2 linked regions of the Elephas maximus indicus genome follow. The protein of the gene in region 1 interacts with the protein of each later gene in a pairwise test. Links are inferred from orthologs where the notes say so. Each region holds a gene or a part of one and is shown in the gene's direction. Other genes may lie near its edges.

Region 1 (7,592 bases):
CGTGGCTCCTGGTGGCCCTGGAATCTGGCCACTTTTCAGTCTCCTTTGGTGTCTGTCCCAGTCCCTCTCCTCTCTACTTTGTCATGGTTCACACACCTGTCTCCCACGTCCACCGCCCACTTGACAGCACCCCTTTTAGCAGTCTCAAGGTGTGATGGTTAATTTTCTGTGTCAACTTGGCTAGGTTATGGTTCCCAGTGGTTTGGCCAAACTAGACTAGCTGCTGTTCCTCCAATGCAATCTAACGTAGTTATCATTTTCCATAATCTAGTTTAATGCAATCAGTTGAAAAGGGAGTTTCCTCAGCGTGTGTTCTGCCTTTAGACTATGTTGTTGTTGTTGTTAGGTGCCACTGGGTCAGTTCCGACTCATAGTGGCCCTATGTACAACACAACGAAACGTTGCCCGGTCCTGTGCCATGATCACAATCGTGATACTTAAGTCCATTGTTGCAGCCACTGTGTCAATCCATCTCGTTGAGGGTCTTCCTCTTTTCCACGGACCTCTACTTTACTAAGCATGATGCCCTCTCCAGGGACTGATTCCTTCTGACAACATGCCAAAGTATGTAAGATGCAGTCTCGCCATCCTTGCTTCTGAAGAGCATTCTGGTTGTTCTTCCAAGATAGGTTTGTTCCTACTTTGGGCAGTCTATGGTATACACAACATTCTTCACCAACACAATTCAAAGGCGTCAATTCTTTTTCGGTTTTCCTTTTTTTTTTTTTATTCATTGTCTAGCTTTTGCACGCAGATGATGCGATTGAAAATACCATGGCTTGGGTCAGGCGCACCTTAGTCTTCAAGGTAACATCTTTGCTTTTCAACTCTTTAAAGAGATCCTTTGCAACAGCAACGACTTTAGACTGTAAGTATTTTAGGTATTTGGGCAGAATGCACTCTCCACTCTGCCCTCTGTCGTCTGATCTACAGATCTTGAGATTAAAGCCTGCATTAGTCTCCAGCCTTTCACCTGACCCACGAATTTTGTACTTGTCAGTCCACCACAATCCTGTGCACCAAATCCTTGAAGTAAAGCCGTGTATATATACAGAATAAGATCTGGTGGTGAAAAAGGTTAAGCACTCAGCTACTAACTGAAAGGTTGGTGGTTTGAACCCACCCAGCGACTCCGTGGGAGAAAGACCTGGCAATTTGGTTTCTTAAAAAATATAACCAAGAAAACCCTACGGGGCAGTTTTACTGTCATGGGGTCACTGAGTCAGAGTCAAGTCAATGACAGCTAACAACGTGCATATATATGCATACATGTATAGCTCACTGGTTCTGTTCCTCGGGAGACTCTTAAGATACATAAGCACTCCAATTAATCACAGACACACTTGTGATCCCGAGGCCACATCGTCCTCTTCCTCCTGTGGCCCCCAGCTGGAAAAAGACCCCACCCCCACTGAAGTTGCTAAAGAAAGAAACCTGGGGGTTGTCCTTGATAACTCCCTCCCTCTTGGCCCCATGTCCGGCCATTGACAGTGGTCTTCACGGAGGCCCTGTCTGTCCACTGCCCTTCGGACCCCTGCCCCACCTGACCCAGGCTGCTATGGCCCTTGATACCCTCCTGCAGGGTTCCCTGCTCCTTGATGCCTCCACAAGGAAGTCATTGACTTGTTAAAACCAGATATAATCACAGCCTCCCTGGTCAGAAATGCCTGTTGAATGACCAACTGTGTCACTGCCCAGCTCGAAAACCGGCACGAAGCCCTTCATGATGATGCCTACCGTGCCGCTGCTCCTTCCCACACCCTCTATCACACCAGGCGCAAGTGGGTCTTCAAAGCCCATTCCCATTACTTATCCCGCCTAGCCCTCCCCAGCAGCCCAAGGTGGGTGGAGTGGGCTCCACGCAAGAGATGAGATTGCTAAGAAAAGGGCAGGAGCCTGCCCCGTGCCCCCCAGCATACCCAGCACCTGCTGGCTCAGCCCCCAGGCCGCTCCACCCGCCTTCCTTTCATCAACATCTTTAGGCCTGCCCCAGGCAGAACCTTAGACTCTGGCCTCTCCAGTGGACCTCTCCCTTCCCTTCACTCAGCCACTGCCCAGCCCACCACTGCCCCTGGGCCCAGCTCAGTGGGGGGAAGGCAGGTGAATGGGAAAGTGGCCACAGAGCCCCAGACAGAGACTGGAACAAACACCGATGTTCCCTTTTATTTTTTTAATAAATTTAAGAACAGCTTTCTTTTCTCCCCCCCCCCCAGAACAACTAAAACCAACTAAAAGGGGGTGTAGCCTGGGGGGCAGGGGGCGCTAGGAGTCATAATCCTCTTCATCCTCTGCATCTGGTCCTGATGGGCCCGGGGGTGCTAGGGGCAGAAGCACAGTCGAGGTGAAGGGCATGAAGGGTGTCGGGGGGCTGTGAGGCAGAAAGCAAGAAAGGCTGATCAGACCACGCTCTGGGCCCATTCCTGCCTGTGGAGCCCCACCCCACCCTCTACAGAGGCAGGCAAGGAGCCCATTACCCTTTGTGCCCACAGGAAGCCATGCCCCAGAGAAGAGAAAGGCCCAACGAAGGTCAAAGAGCTTTGTCAAAGCTCTGTCCACTGTCCCCACCTGGGGGGAAAAGGGGCCTTCTGAGAGCACAACTCAGTTCCTCCCAGTTCCCCCCAAATCTGCTACAATCCACAGAACCAGTGTCCGTAGAGGACAAGAAGGACAGGCCGGCCTTGGCAAGTGGGCTGGTCCTCCTGGCTCGGCTAAGCTGCTTACCTTTGAAAGTGGGGAGGGGGATGGCTGGCCTGGGGTGGGGGCTGTGGTGTCTCCTCTTCCCCCTCTGTGTCCGTGTCCTCAGACTCATCCTGTAACGGAAATGGGTCAGAGTAACAAGAAAAGGGATGTCTAGACCTATCACTGGGGACCCCAGAGCTCTGGGAGTGGTGGGACAGGACACAGATCCCAACAGATCCAATTTACAAACAAAGAAACTAAGGTGTAATATGGTTTCTGGTAAGGATGGGTACCAGCCTCCAGCCAGCTCAGCCTGATGCTGAGGCTTCCAGGTGCCACCCTCTCCATCACAGCTGGGCCAGACAGAGCTGGGCCTCCTCACCTCCTGCTCTGAGTCCGTCCCTGACAGCTTCTTGTCCTTGCCTTTGCTGCCCATGCCACCGTTCTTCCGGCTGCTGGTGCCTGGCTTCCGGCCCCTTTGGGAAAGTACAGTCCATGTGCCCAGGGGTCTCCCCTCTCCTGAAGCACCCCCAATCACCACCTACCCCTGTGGCCTTGGCCTTCCCTGCCTGGACACCTGGCCCCCCACCTGCGGGCACCCTTGTCTCCATCCATGTGGTTGTCTTCCCCGTCCCCCTGCATGTCAGGCACGGAGGCCACCAGGTCCTTCAGAAAGTCAAACTGCTGCTCCAGTTCAATGCACTGCTTCCTGGAAGAGAGGGAAAACAGCACTCAGACAGGGTACTCGGGTAGGGCCCAGCGAAGTGGCCAGGATGTCAGGGAAGGGGGAACTATAAGAGCTCCCTCCCCGTCTCCACCACCAAACCTGTGCTCTCTGCTCAGGTTATTTCCCCAGCCTGGAACACCCAGGCCTTGCTTCACGGGTCCAATCCCACTGTCTCCAAGCCGTCTCCCACCACCCTCTTGTTTAGAGCTCCCCCGCCTAGGAGGTAGAGTACAGCCCCCTTAAGAGAGAGAACTCGTGAACTTCTCGGCCAGGACCCCTCCCAGCCCCGCGGGCCACTCACAGGTGGGACGTGGTCATAGTCTTGGCATTGCGGGACTGGGTCACCTGGCAGGCCTTCTTCAGCAGCGACTCCAGGAAGAGCTCCAGCGCCCGGGCTGAGCGGTGTTAAGGAGAAGATGGTAGGGGGATTCCCGACCTGCCCCCCTCTCCCACGCCCCCCAACCGGCCAGCCCCCGGCAGGATACAGATGATGACAGGCACAGCCGCCGCCACCTTCCCAATCTCCTCGTCAGTCTGCATGATCTTCTTGATTCGCGCCTGGGGAGAGGGGCAGAGTTCGGACCCCACCACTTCCTTCATGAAAAAGGGTACTGGGGGTACGAGAGGGAATTCCGGGAGAAATGCGCGGGAGGGGGGGGCACAGAAGGGGGAAGGGAAGGGGGCGGGGCGTCCGGGCCCCCGGACGCCCGAAGTGCCCGCCCCCCCCAGCGGGGCTCGGGCCGGGCCTCCAGGGAGCCGGGCCTGCTCCACCCCAGCCTGGCCACGTGCTCACCGGCGGGAACCGCGCGTTGTACTTCTTCTTCTTGCTCGGCATCTTGGGGCCTCTCCCGACGCGCCGGGCCCAGCGCCGCCGCCCGCAGCCTCCCGGCCCCCGGGCCTGCTCACCGCCCGCCCGTCGCGCTTCCCCCGGGTCCTGGCGCCGCCTGCTCCGCCCCCCGCCGCTGCCCACGGGGTCCTAGTGCCGCCGCTCAGGACGAAGCTCGCAGCGCACAGGGCCCTCCCCTTCACCCTCCGGGGCGGTGCGCGTCTCCTCCGGCCGTCCGGCCCGCCTCTCCCTCCGGCCCTCAAGGCCTGAAGATCGAACGTTAGCTCCGCCCCCCGGCCGGCCCGCCCCCTCTGGTTCCCGCGATGGCCCCGCCCCTTCCTGTCGGCCCCGCCCAGCCCAGCTGCCCGGCGGCCCCGCCCCGTGGCTGCGCTTGTCTATAAAGTTGTTGTTGAAGCGGCGAGCGCTAAGATGGCGGCGGCGGCGGCGGCCGTGGCGGGGGCGGGGCGCGGTGGTGGCGGCGCGGAGCCCCGGCAGGAACGGAACCGCGCCCGGGGCTGGGCCGGAGCCGAACGCAGCGACGGCCGGAGGTGACGGTGGGGCCGCGGGAGGGGTAGGGCTGGGGCGGGGGCCTTGGTCGGTCTGCGGGTGCTAATGGCGGCGGGCGCGGCGGGGCCGGCGGCTGGCCCTCCGGCAGGCTCTAACCAGCCAAGGTTCGAGTCCGGGCACCGCCCCATCGGCCTCGGTCCCGTCACTGCCTCCGTGGGCCACAGTGTCCTCGTCTTTAAGTGGGCACGACGACGCCCACCGGGAGGCCTGGTCCACAGGGCGCGCCTTGGGTGCTGCGTGAATGTGCCTCCCTCCATTAAATCCAGAGCTCCGGATCCCTGCCGGGCTGAGACCAGACGAAGAGCGCTTTGATAGGGCCAGGAGGCGTGATGGGGCCGGGAGCTTCCACCCCTGGATTCACATTTTTCTCTGCCACTCAGTACAGGTGTGACCTTGGGCAGTTCCCTTCTCTCTGAACGTCAGTCTTCTTGTCTCTAGGTCAATGAGAGTAATGACAATGGCAGTAACACTTATGTAGCGCTTACTGCACCTCAGGCATTTAATTCTCACGGCAGCTCTGTGAGACAGGGAAGGTTGTTACTCCGTTATGAAGTAACTGAGGCACAGTGATATTAAGTCTTGCCCAAGGCCACACAGTTTAGGCCAGTGCCTGGCACCTGTTAGGGCCCAGCTATCGGTAGTTATTGTCCCAGACCTGCCCTGACTCAATTCCCTCACAGCAGGATGGAGTCCGGTGAGGAGCCAGAGGAAGAGGACTCTCCAGGCGGCCGGGAGGATGGTTTTACCGCTGAGCACTTGGCTGCAGAGGCCATGGCAGCTGACATGGACCCCTGGCTGGTGTTTGATGCCCGCAGTACGCCCGCCACTGAGCTGGATGCCTGGTTGGCCAAATACCCACCATCCCAAGTTACCCGCTATGGGGACCCTGGCTCACCCAACTCAGAGCCTGTGGGCTGGATCGCAGTGTATGGGCAGGGCTACCTCCCCAATTCTGGTGATGTACAGGGTCTGCAGGCAGCTTGGGAGGCTCTGCAGACTAGCGGGCGGCCCATCACACCCAGTACCCTGCGCCAGCTGGCTATCACTCACCAGGTGCTCTCAGGCAAGTGGCTGATGCACCTGACACCTGGCTTCAAGCTGGACCATGCCTGGGCTGGCATTGCCCGAGCCGTGGTCGAAGGCCAGCTTCAGGTGGCCAAGGTGAGCCCACGGGCCAAGGAGGGTGGGCGCCAGGTCATCTGTGTTTACACAGATGACTTCACGGACCGCCTGGGTGTACTGGAGGCAGACACAGCCATCCGGGCTGCAGGCATTAAGTGCCTGCTCACCTACAAGCCTGATGTCTACACCTACCTGGGCATCTACCGAGCCAACCGCTGGCACCTCTGCCCCACTCTCTACGAGAGCCGTTTCCAGTTGGGAGGTGATGCCCGCGGCTCTCGTGTGCTTGATCGAGCCAACAATGTGGAACTGACCTAGTGGGGCCAGGCAAACAAGACCACCTTGGGATGGACCATCCATGCCAGTATGGATGTTCCCACCTTCCTCCTTGTCACCCCAAGGAGGCCAGGCCCCAGCTTTGAGGACTGGGTTAGCTCTTTTGGAAACTGCCTGCATCTTTCATTCCCTTGAATCTCTGCCCTCTGATCAGGACTAATGCCAGCCCCCACAAGTGGCGGGGCTCTGGCTTGCTGAGGGCCGGGCCCTCAGCCTCTCTTCGCTGCTGCTCCCCTCAACCTCCCAGGACCACAGGCCGGGGCCAGATGCTGGGGGAGAGCCGTCCTTGGCCACCCCCGTCACCCCACCAGGCTGCACCTTGCCTCCTCCTGCACTGTCCCTTTCCCTTCCTCCTTCACGAGGGAGAAAACTCAGTGCTTCCAGTCTTTCCCCTTGGAGCCTTCTAAGTCCACAGGGCAGGGGTCCTGCGGGCCTGAGCATGCCATTGGGGGTAGAGAAGTAGTTGTGTCACTCAGCCCCTGGCAGAGAGAGGGGACACCAGGGCCCAGGTCACCGGGCCTGCCCCTCCGTGAGATTTACAGCCTGCACCACCTTCCTCCCCTCCTCATATCTTGTCACGTGCCTGCTCCTGGCATTTCAATAAAGCCCAGCTTGGGTCTGTGTCTTGAGTGTTTTTTAAGGCTGTATTGGTGGTTACCTCCTTTGGCTGCTGAAGAGATGCAGAGCCAGGAGAGGACTGCTCCCCAGGCCTGGCCTCCTGTCTGCCCACGGTACTAAGACATGCCTCACCAAGGCCCGGCTCCTCTCAGAACCTCTGTGAAGCCAGCCCTGCTTGTCCCATCCCAAAAATCAGAATCAGTGATTTCCTATAAATGCAAGGGCTTGGCCCTTCCAGAAAGGCCCAAGGGGCCACTATTAGCCTCATTTTTAGGTGTGATATATGTGCCTGTATATGTATAGCATAATGTATTTGGGCATATTAAAGAAAGATGCCCGCTGGGAGAGGCAGCCTGGGCAGGCCTCATGGTTTGGTGAATGGAGAATGGGCTGCATTTCAGTGTCCTAGGCTGGACACACTAGTGCAGGGAACAACCTACACAACCTTCAGTGATGGTCCTGGAAGGTCTCCCATTTATACTCACCTCTCACACTGCCCTGTCAGAGGGGCCACTGGACAGTTTGCAGAGCACTTCCACATGCATCATTGAATTCTCACGTCTTTCTGAAAGAGGTATTGGCCCCATTCTGTGGTCAGGAACACTGAGGCCCAGAGGGGAAAGGGAGTTCCCCAGGATCATGTGGTGAGTTGAGCAGAGACAGCTAGAATTTGCACCCCACCCCTGCCTCCTCTGCCTCTAAGAGGAAACCTCACCC
Region 2 (7,658 bases), on another chromosome or scaffold:
TAGAGAACCCAGCCTAAGACAGCAAGACAGGCAAGAAGGGAGAAGCAGAGAGGAGGCAAGGAAACTCCTAAAGGAGCTGTAACACAGGTCAGTGTCTAACACTGAAGACAGCGAGAGGCCTGGATAGGGCCCCGTGGCAGAGTTGTTAGTGGCAGCAGAAATCTGCTGAGGCTAAGAGAGCTGAACAAAACTGCTACACTAACTATGATTCGGGTCAGTTAACAACACAGAGGCCAACGGCAGGGAGGCAGAAGACGGAGAGGCCTGTCTTAAGGGGGCTGAGAGGAAGCCTGTCCTGAGGGGGCCAAGAGGAGTCCTGCATGGCTGAGAGGAGGCGTGTACAGCAGAGATGGGCTGGCTTGCTTGCTTGCTTGCATGGCTGAGACCAGCTGAGAGAACTGTCCTGCGCTGAAGAAGGAATGTGCTCCCCTGTTCGAAGGAGCCTCCCAGACTGCCTACCTGCTTCCTGACCCTGATCCCGAGCTGTAGCCTGTGGATCCTGATCCCGAGACATACCCGTTACTTCCTTCATAAATCACTTAAATGTAAGCATGGTCTGTGTGTTCTGTGTGGTCACTGCAACAGATTATCAAACCCAGAAGAGAAGTAGAGAATGCCATGGGAGAGACAGCTGCTGTCAGAATTAGTAAAAAGGTCGGAGAGTGGAAGTGTGTCGGACCTCCACCTCCGAGTAACCAGCTTTGGGCTGATCCTGGTCATTACTCTCCCTGAAGTCAGACAGGCTCTGACACTACTACTAGAATTTTACACTAGCCAAGTTGAGGGAATGATGAAAAAATGGTTTTAATCTGACTAAATATTTCTGATTCCAGTTTTCATTAAAGCAACAGCTATTTATTGAGCACCTTCTATGACACAGGCCCTGAGCAAAACAAACTCCCTGTTTTCAGGGAAGACACACAAGTCAGGTGGTGATGAGTGCTAGCAAAAGGAACCGAGCAGGGCACTGGAGAAACAACTGGGATCTGTCTTTATTTCAGATAGGGCAGTTAGAGAAAGAGAAGAAAAGGTGGGAGCCTTGAGGGCATCAGAGGGAAGAGTAATCCAGGCAGAGGGAGGGCAGAGGTGGGAAGGCGATGGGTATGAGAGAAAGAGCAAAGAGGCCAGCGTGGCCGGGAAGATGGGCAGGCCATCCAGGTCTTGTAAGGACTTTGACACCCACTGTGAGGAAGGAAGGCGGGTTTGAGCACAGGGAAGTGACCAGATCTGGGCTTTGGACAGAACACACGACTGCAACACAGAAAACAGACTGGGTGGGGGAGCAGCACAGGAGCTGAAGTGTCTTCTTCAAATGTATCTATCTCTTATTTGATACGTTTCAGATCTTTTTGAAAAAAAAAAAAAAAATTTTAGCTACATTGCAAAGTCTGCACATTTTTAGTGCTAGCAAGCTACCGTTTTGGTTTCAAACTAAACATTTTTCAGTATATTTTTGTCTTCTTTATTTTCGTCACGTATAGGTGGAGATTCCATGTGTCAGTTTCAATTTTCTCACATTCATACTCACTTGTTGGCAAAGCCTCTGACCTAGAGTAACACTTGTGCTTGCAAGAGAAGGATCTATGTAGATTTGTAGAGTATCAGCATGTCTTTTCATATAAATTGAATATTTAAGTCAATGATCTTAATTCCACACGAAAACAATATTTCAGATTTTTTAAAACAATTAGAAGTATGACACCAACAAATACCAATATTTCAGACCTTAAAAATAGCAAGAATAGTGAAAACCAGTACCACAAGGACTATTACTCCTATAGACGAAGAACTCGGTTCAGAGAGATTAAGCAACTTGCTTGAAGTCACACAGCTAGTAGTTGGTGGCTCGAATTTGAACACAGGCGGTTTGAAACGTGAAGCCACTGGTTTCACTATGACACCAAAGGCTTCTCAGAGGTGACGTCTGAGTCGGGCCTTCAAAGGGGTTGTCCTTCCCCTAGGGCTCAAGTGAATTAGTAAAGGCTGGGATATCCACTCTGGGGAAGGAATTAGGAAGCAAATTAGGAGCAAACCTGACTGGACAACTAACTTTTGTCATTGAGGCACATGCTCTGTTTATGGAACTTTCTTAAGTTGCGTTCAATCCTCTGGATCCTGTGTGGGAGGTAGACTGTGTGCTTGAAGCCAAGAGACAGGCCTACGGATTGGAGTCTGGGAGTGTGGTCCAAGCGACTGGTCTCGGGTTCTGCTGGGTGGAAACGGGGACTAAGCCAGGAGGGAGGGGATAACCCATGGAGGTCCTGGTGCTGAGGGAGGCCCAGCCATAGGCCTTCCTAGGAGCTCTCCCTCCCTTTACTTCATTGCTAATAAATTACCCGTCTTTCCTCTCCTGTAGGGTCCTGTGGGAGATGACAGACAGAGCCTCCTCTATGTGGTCCCTGTCCTCCAGGACATCACCTCGAGGTGACTTTGGACTAAAAATGCACAGACTTTGGAATAAGAAATGTTAAGGCTATCCAGGAATAATTACTAAGGTTTCATTTATTAAAATGCCATTTGTTGTTGTTGTTGTCAGCTGCCGTCGAGTTGGCCTCCAACCCATGGTGACACCACGCACAACAGGCTCGAACTGTTGTGATCCACAGGGTTTCCATTGGCTGACAGTCTGTCTGGAAGTTAGCATCAGAGAACACCAAAGCTTCCACTGGCAGACAGGTGGTGACTGTGCCTGGGCTACACCGACTGAGAGTCAAACCCAGCATGACAGGCAAGACTTCTACCTCCGAACCACCACTGCCCCCTAAAACGCATTCAGGTGCATTTTAACAGCAATGGAGCTATGGGGCAGGGATGTGGAGGAGGGACCTAACTTAAAGCTGTGGAGGGAGAGGAGAAACCATTGGTTCTTCTCTGAGTCGTGTGGTAGAAGTCAAAGCTGCGTGGCCTCCCGCGACTCACTTGCTTACTCTGGGCCTGTTTCCTCAGCTGTAAAGAAATTTGGAAATTATATATGTAAAACACCAGAAGGGTACCAGACACATGGTACATGCCAAATACATATTATTTTGTGCTAGGATTTTAACAAATATTTACTCGTTTAATCTTTACAACACTGAAGAGGTAACTGCTGTCGTTCCTCAAAAGGTGAGGAAACTGAGCTGTTAGAGCTTAGGTAACGTACCTGAGGTCACACAACCAGTTGGAGGCAGAACCCAGGCCAAGTCTGTTGTTGCTGTTAGGTGCCATGTGACAGGATAGAACTGCCCCATAGGGTTTTCTACGCAGTAATCTTTAGGGAAGCAGACCATCTGGTCTTTCTCCCAAAGAGCCACTGGGTGGGTTTGAACCAGCAACCTTTCGGTCAGCAGCCAAGCTCTTAACGGATGTCAAAGTTCCTGTTCTCTTACTCGGAAAGAAAAAGGGACAGAAAAACAAAAAATGAGTTAACGGCTGCTTTGCCAACCCCGGTACAGGGATAAGGTATGGGAAAATGTTTAATATATAAAAATACTGTGTGAGTGTAAGATACCTGGGTATACACTGCAAGAAGATTCTGTGAAATTCCTTTAAGTTGGGCCGAAAACACAGTAGGGCTCGTCAACATCGGTACCTCCACGGTAGGAGTATCTGACCTTACTGCCATCTCGGTCTAAAACCTGAGAAATCAGCCAGGCGATTAATCGATTAATCGGCATTGCAAATTCACTCTCTGCAGCCGCCAGAGAATGGACTTCACGTCTGGGTTCCACTGTTCCCGGCCCAACGACTCCCTCGTTTAACCACCGCCTACACCCTGTGACCCCCGCCCCCCAACAGCCAGGCGCGGCGTAGACCTCCGAGGGCAGAGTTCACCCCAGCACCCTGTCTCCGCTCGGGGTTCGCCCCAGCACCCAGTCTTCCCTCGGGGTTCGCCCCAGCACCCTGTCTCCGCTCGGGGTTCGCCCCAGCACCCTGTCTCCGCTCGGGGTTCGCCCCAGCACCCTGTCTCCGCTCGGGGTTCGCCCCAGCACCCTGTCTCCCCTCGGGGTTCGCCCCAGCACCCTGTCTCCGCTCGGGGTTCGCCCCAGCACCCTGTCCCCGCTCGGGGTTCGCCCCAGCACCCTGTCCCCGCTCGGGGTTCGCCCCAGCACCCTGTCTCCGCTCGGGGTTCGCCCCAGCACCCAGTCTCCCCTCGGGGTTCGCCCCAGCACCCTGTCCCCGCTCGGGGTTCGCCCCAGCACCCTGTCTCCGCTCGGGGTTCGCCCCAGCACCCTCAGCTCCGCGCGCTCTGCACCCTGCGGAAGGCGGCCCTCGCTCTGCTGTCACCCGGCCACCCCCGGCCGGGAGAGGGGCCGCGCAGGGTCGGGGCGAGGCCGGAGGGCCGCAGCCGGGAGCGCGGGGCAGCCGCGGCGGGGGGGGGGGGGGGACGGCACCGAGCCAGCACACAATGGGCCGGGCGGGCCGGTGGGCCGTCTGGCGGGGCCGAGCCGGCAGGAAGGAGGGCGGCCCGGGACCCCGCGCCGCGCCACGTGGCCAGGAGAGCCACGTGGCCAGGAGAGCCCGGGGCGCAGGCCGGGCGCGGCTTGCGTGCGCGCCCCCGCGCGTGCGTGCGATTTGCGATCAGGCGGCGCGGCGGACAGCCCGGCGGCGGGGCGGGGCGGAGCGCGGGGTCCTTGGGCGCGCAGCCTGGTTCCCTCGGAGGAGACGGCAAATGGCGGACTTCGACACCTACGACGATCGGGCCTACAGCAGCTTCGGCGGCGGCAGAGGGTGAGGCGGCGGGCGCGCGGGCCGCGGCCAGGCGGCGGGCTCGGGGCTCGGGCGCTCGGGGCGGCGGGCGCTCAGCTCTCCGGGGCGGGCGGGCCCAGAGCCTGGGAGGCGCCCTGAGGCCTGGGAGGCGCGGGGCCTGGAAATGGCGCGCCCGGCGGGGTCGCGGCCGTTGGGCTCCCGGGCCCTGCTCGTCGGCGCGTCCTCCGTGTGGCTGCCGCCCACCCCGGCGTGTCGCCCGCCTCGCGCCCCGTTGCCCCCTGGCAGCCGCGGCCGCGCCCCGAGGCCGAGCTCCGCTTCCGCCGCGTCCCCCGGGAGGGCGCTGCTGGGGCTCGGGGTGCAGCCGGGGTTCGGGGTGCAGCCGGGGCTCGGGGTGCCGCTGGGGCTGCCGGGGCGCTGCCGGGGTTCGGGGTGCTGCCGGGGCGCTGCCGGGGCTCGGGGTGCAGCCGGGGCTCGGGATGCCTCTGGGGCTCGGGGTGCAGCCGGGGCTCGGGGTGCCTCTGGGGCTCGGGGTGCAGCCGGGACTCGGGGTGCCGCCTCCCCCGGGCCCGGGTCCTCCTCGCCGGCAGCCGGCTGAGGCCAGGTCGGAGGCCGAGGGGGACAGATTGGGGGCCGGAGCCCGGGAGCGGCCTGATTCACGGCGGGCGGCGGGGGAACCAACGAAAACAAATACATTGTAGCTTTTTTTTAAAAAAACTTTTTAATCTTTCCGAGGGGTCATAGTGCCTGTTGCCAAGCACTGTGTGCGTCCTGGCAGAGAATTGTATTTCCCTCTGGTTTTCCGTTCTGACCTGCAAAGGGGATGGCATTTAGGCTCTTCCTGAGTTTGGTCAAACGCAGAAGGCTACAGTTGAAGCTCTTTGTTGACAAGAAAGACCCTTGAGTGGTGAATAAAAAGCTTAGGGCGTTTAATTCCAGGAACCTGCACTGTTGTGTGTGTGTTTTCGCCCTAATGCTCTGTTGTTGTTGTGTGTGTTTTCCCCCTAATGCAGGGTACCTCATAGAGAATTGAGAAGATGGTGTGTAAGACACCTTGCTGTTTGTCAAGGGCCCACTTGGACTTTGTAAAAGAGACAGAATGGATAACTTTCCCAGGATTAACACCCCAGTGGTACCTACTGAGGTGTCCCCTCTCCTGGGTTACAGCGCCAAACTATCTTTGTTTGGTGAAGAATGATCACTTTTAATACCTGGGTTTGGGAATGACTTAAACAAAGGCTTGTATTGGTGCAGGAGTGTAGCCAGTATCAAGCCTGACACTATAACATGGAAGTTGGGGGGTGGAGCTACCTGTTATGGTATTTCAAAGGATATTTTATTTGCTAATAAAAAAGAAATAGATGTTGGATGACTTGGAATTGTTGCCTTTGGGGTAGGTTTCTAGACACCAAATTTGTACTTCATTCATCTTGAATCTAGTAACTAGTCATTTGGATTTTTTTTTCTCCCTCTAGTTTCAAAAAATGTTCAGTAGTACCCAGGAACTCTTCTGTGCTTAAACAGAGTGGAATTCAATTTAAGGCAGATCCAAGGGGTTTTAGTTGTAATGGGACTGGACAATAAGGTGGTCGTAATATACCGAGCCTGGGTTCTTTGTTTTGTTTTTTTAATCTTACCTTTAGACAATAAAGTCTTCTGGTAACTTTAGGAGTTCAAGTTAGACTCTCCTAAGCTTCCTAACCCTGGTGACAACTGGTTAAGAGCTAGGCTGCTAACCAAAAGGTCAGCAGTTCGAATTTACCAGCCGCTCCTTGGAAATTTTACTCTGTCCGATAGGGTCTCTATGAGTCGGAATTGACTCAGCGGCAACAGGTTTGGTTTTTTGTCTTTTCTTTTAAGCATCTTATACACCTGACCTCCTTGGAATTTTCCATTTGGCTTTACATTCCTGTAAAAGTACATAGAAACTATTGCTCTTTCCTAAAAGTAGTTTATAAAACCTGTCGGTGATTTTGTGTGTTGACTTACGCAGTGTCTAGACTGGGTCAGGGTACCTCACAGAGGACCATAGATGGAGTGGTGTGGTCTGTGGAAAAGCACTCGTATTCTGAAGGGTCACTGTTTTTAATTTTAGGAGATCGGGAGTTATCAGTGATTGTGGTCTGAAATTTAGCGATGCAGTATTATAGTTGACCAACCCCAAAAAATCCAAACTCTTTGCCATCGAGTAAATTCTGACTCATAGCGAACCTATAGTTGACCAAACCCTTTGCCATGGAGTAAGTTCTGACTCATAGCGACCTTATAGTTGACCAGACCTTTGCCATCGAGTAAGTTCTGACTCATAGCAACCCTACAGTTGACCAAACCCTTTGCCATGGAGTAAGTTCTGACTCATAGCAACCCTATAGTTGACCAAACCTTTGCCATGGAGTAAGTTCTGACTCGTAACGACCCTATAGTTGACCAAACCCTTTGCCATGGAGTAAGTTCTGACTCATAACGACCCTATAGTTGACCAAACCCTTTGCTATGAAGTAAGTTCTGACTTATAACGACCCTATAGTTGACCAAACCCTTTGCCATGGAGTAAGTTCTGACTCATGGCAACCCTATAGTTGATGAAACCAAATGAAAAAACCATTGCCGTTGAGTCAGTTCGAGTCATAGCAACCCAGGGAGTGCCTGGTAGATTCAAACTGCCAGCCTTTTGGTTAGCAGCCAAACTGTTAACCGCAGTACCACCGGGGTTTCCTGTAGTTGACCAGATACCCTTTAATGATAATTTTTTTGTTATTTGAATTATGCTGACATCAGCAAATGTCTCGGTGCTTTTGTTCGGTTGCACCCAGATACAGTGTCTGAATGTTAAAGAGTCCACCTGTGCAAGGCCAGCCTTACATTGTTTTGTTTGGTACTTTTGTAAGGCGTCTTCCCCTAGTCTGAAACACCTTAAACTAGGGTCATAGGTGACCCAGGTCTGAAACGTATGGTTTTAATCAATAAGTGTA

The links.
Region 2: the proteins of C7H11orf68 (region 1) and EIF4H interact in binary tests that used the Homo sapiens proteins (3 or more experiments, as listed by UniProt). The two-hybrid records come from large-scale screens. The link is inferred for Elephas maximus indicus from reciprocal best matches to the Homo sapiens genes C11orf68 and EIF4H.

Annotation. Positions count from the first base shown.
Region 1 is NC_064825.1:129,059,433-129,067,024, reverse strand, and holds C7H11orf68 (UPF0696 protein C11orf68 homolog), read left to right. Parts: upstream 1-4,659; 5' UTR 4,660-4,661; coding exon 4,662-4,780; exon of another isoform or gene 4,781-4,786; intron 4,787-4,842; exon of another isoform or gene 4,843-5,128; coding exon of another isoform or gene 5,129-5,184; intron 5,185-5,479; coding exon 5,480-6,239; 3' UTR 6,240-7,068; downstream 7,069-7,592. Other genes in the region: DRAP1 (dr1-associated corepressor), read right to left, coding at 2,263-2,368, 2,722-2,810, 3,062-3,155, 3,269-3,388, 3,708-3,801, 3,892-3,964, 4,200-4,241.
Region 2 is NC_064830.1:109,561,817-109,569,474, reverse strand, and holds the start of EIF4H (eukaryotic translation initiation factor 4H), read left to right. Parts: upstream 1-4,601; 5' UTR 4,602-4,651; coding exon 4,652-4,710; intron 4,711-7,658. UniProt on the Homo sapiens protein: Stimulates the RNA helicase activity of EIF4A in the translation initiation complex. Binds weakly mRNA.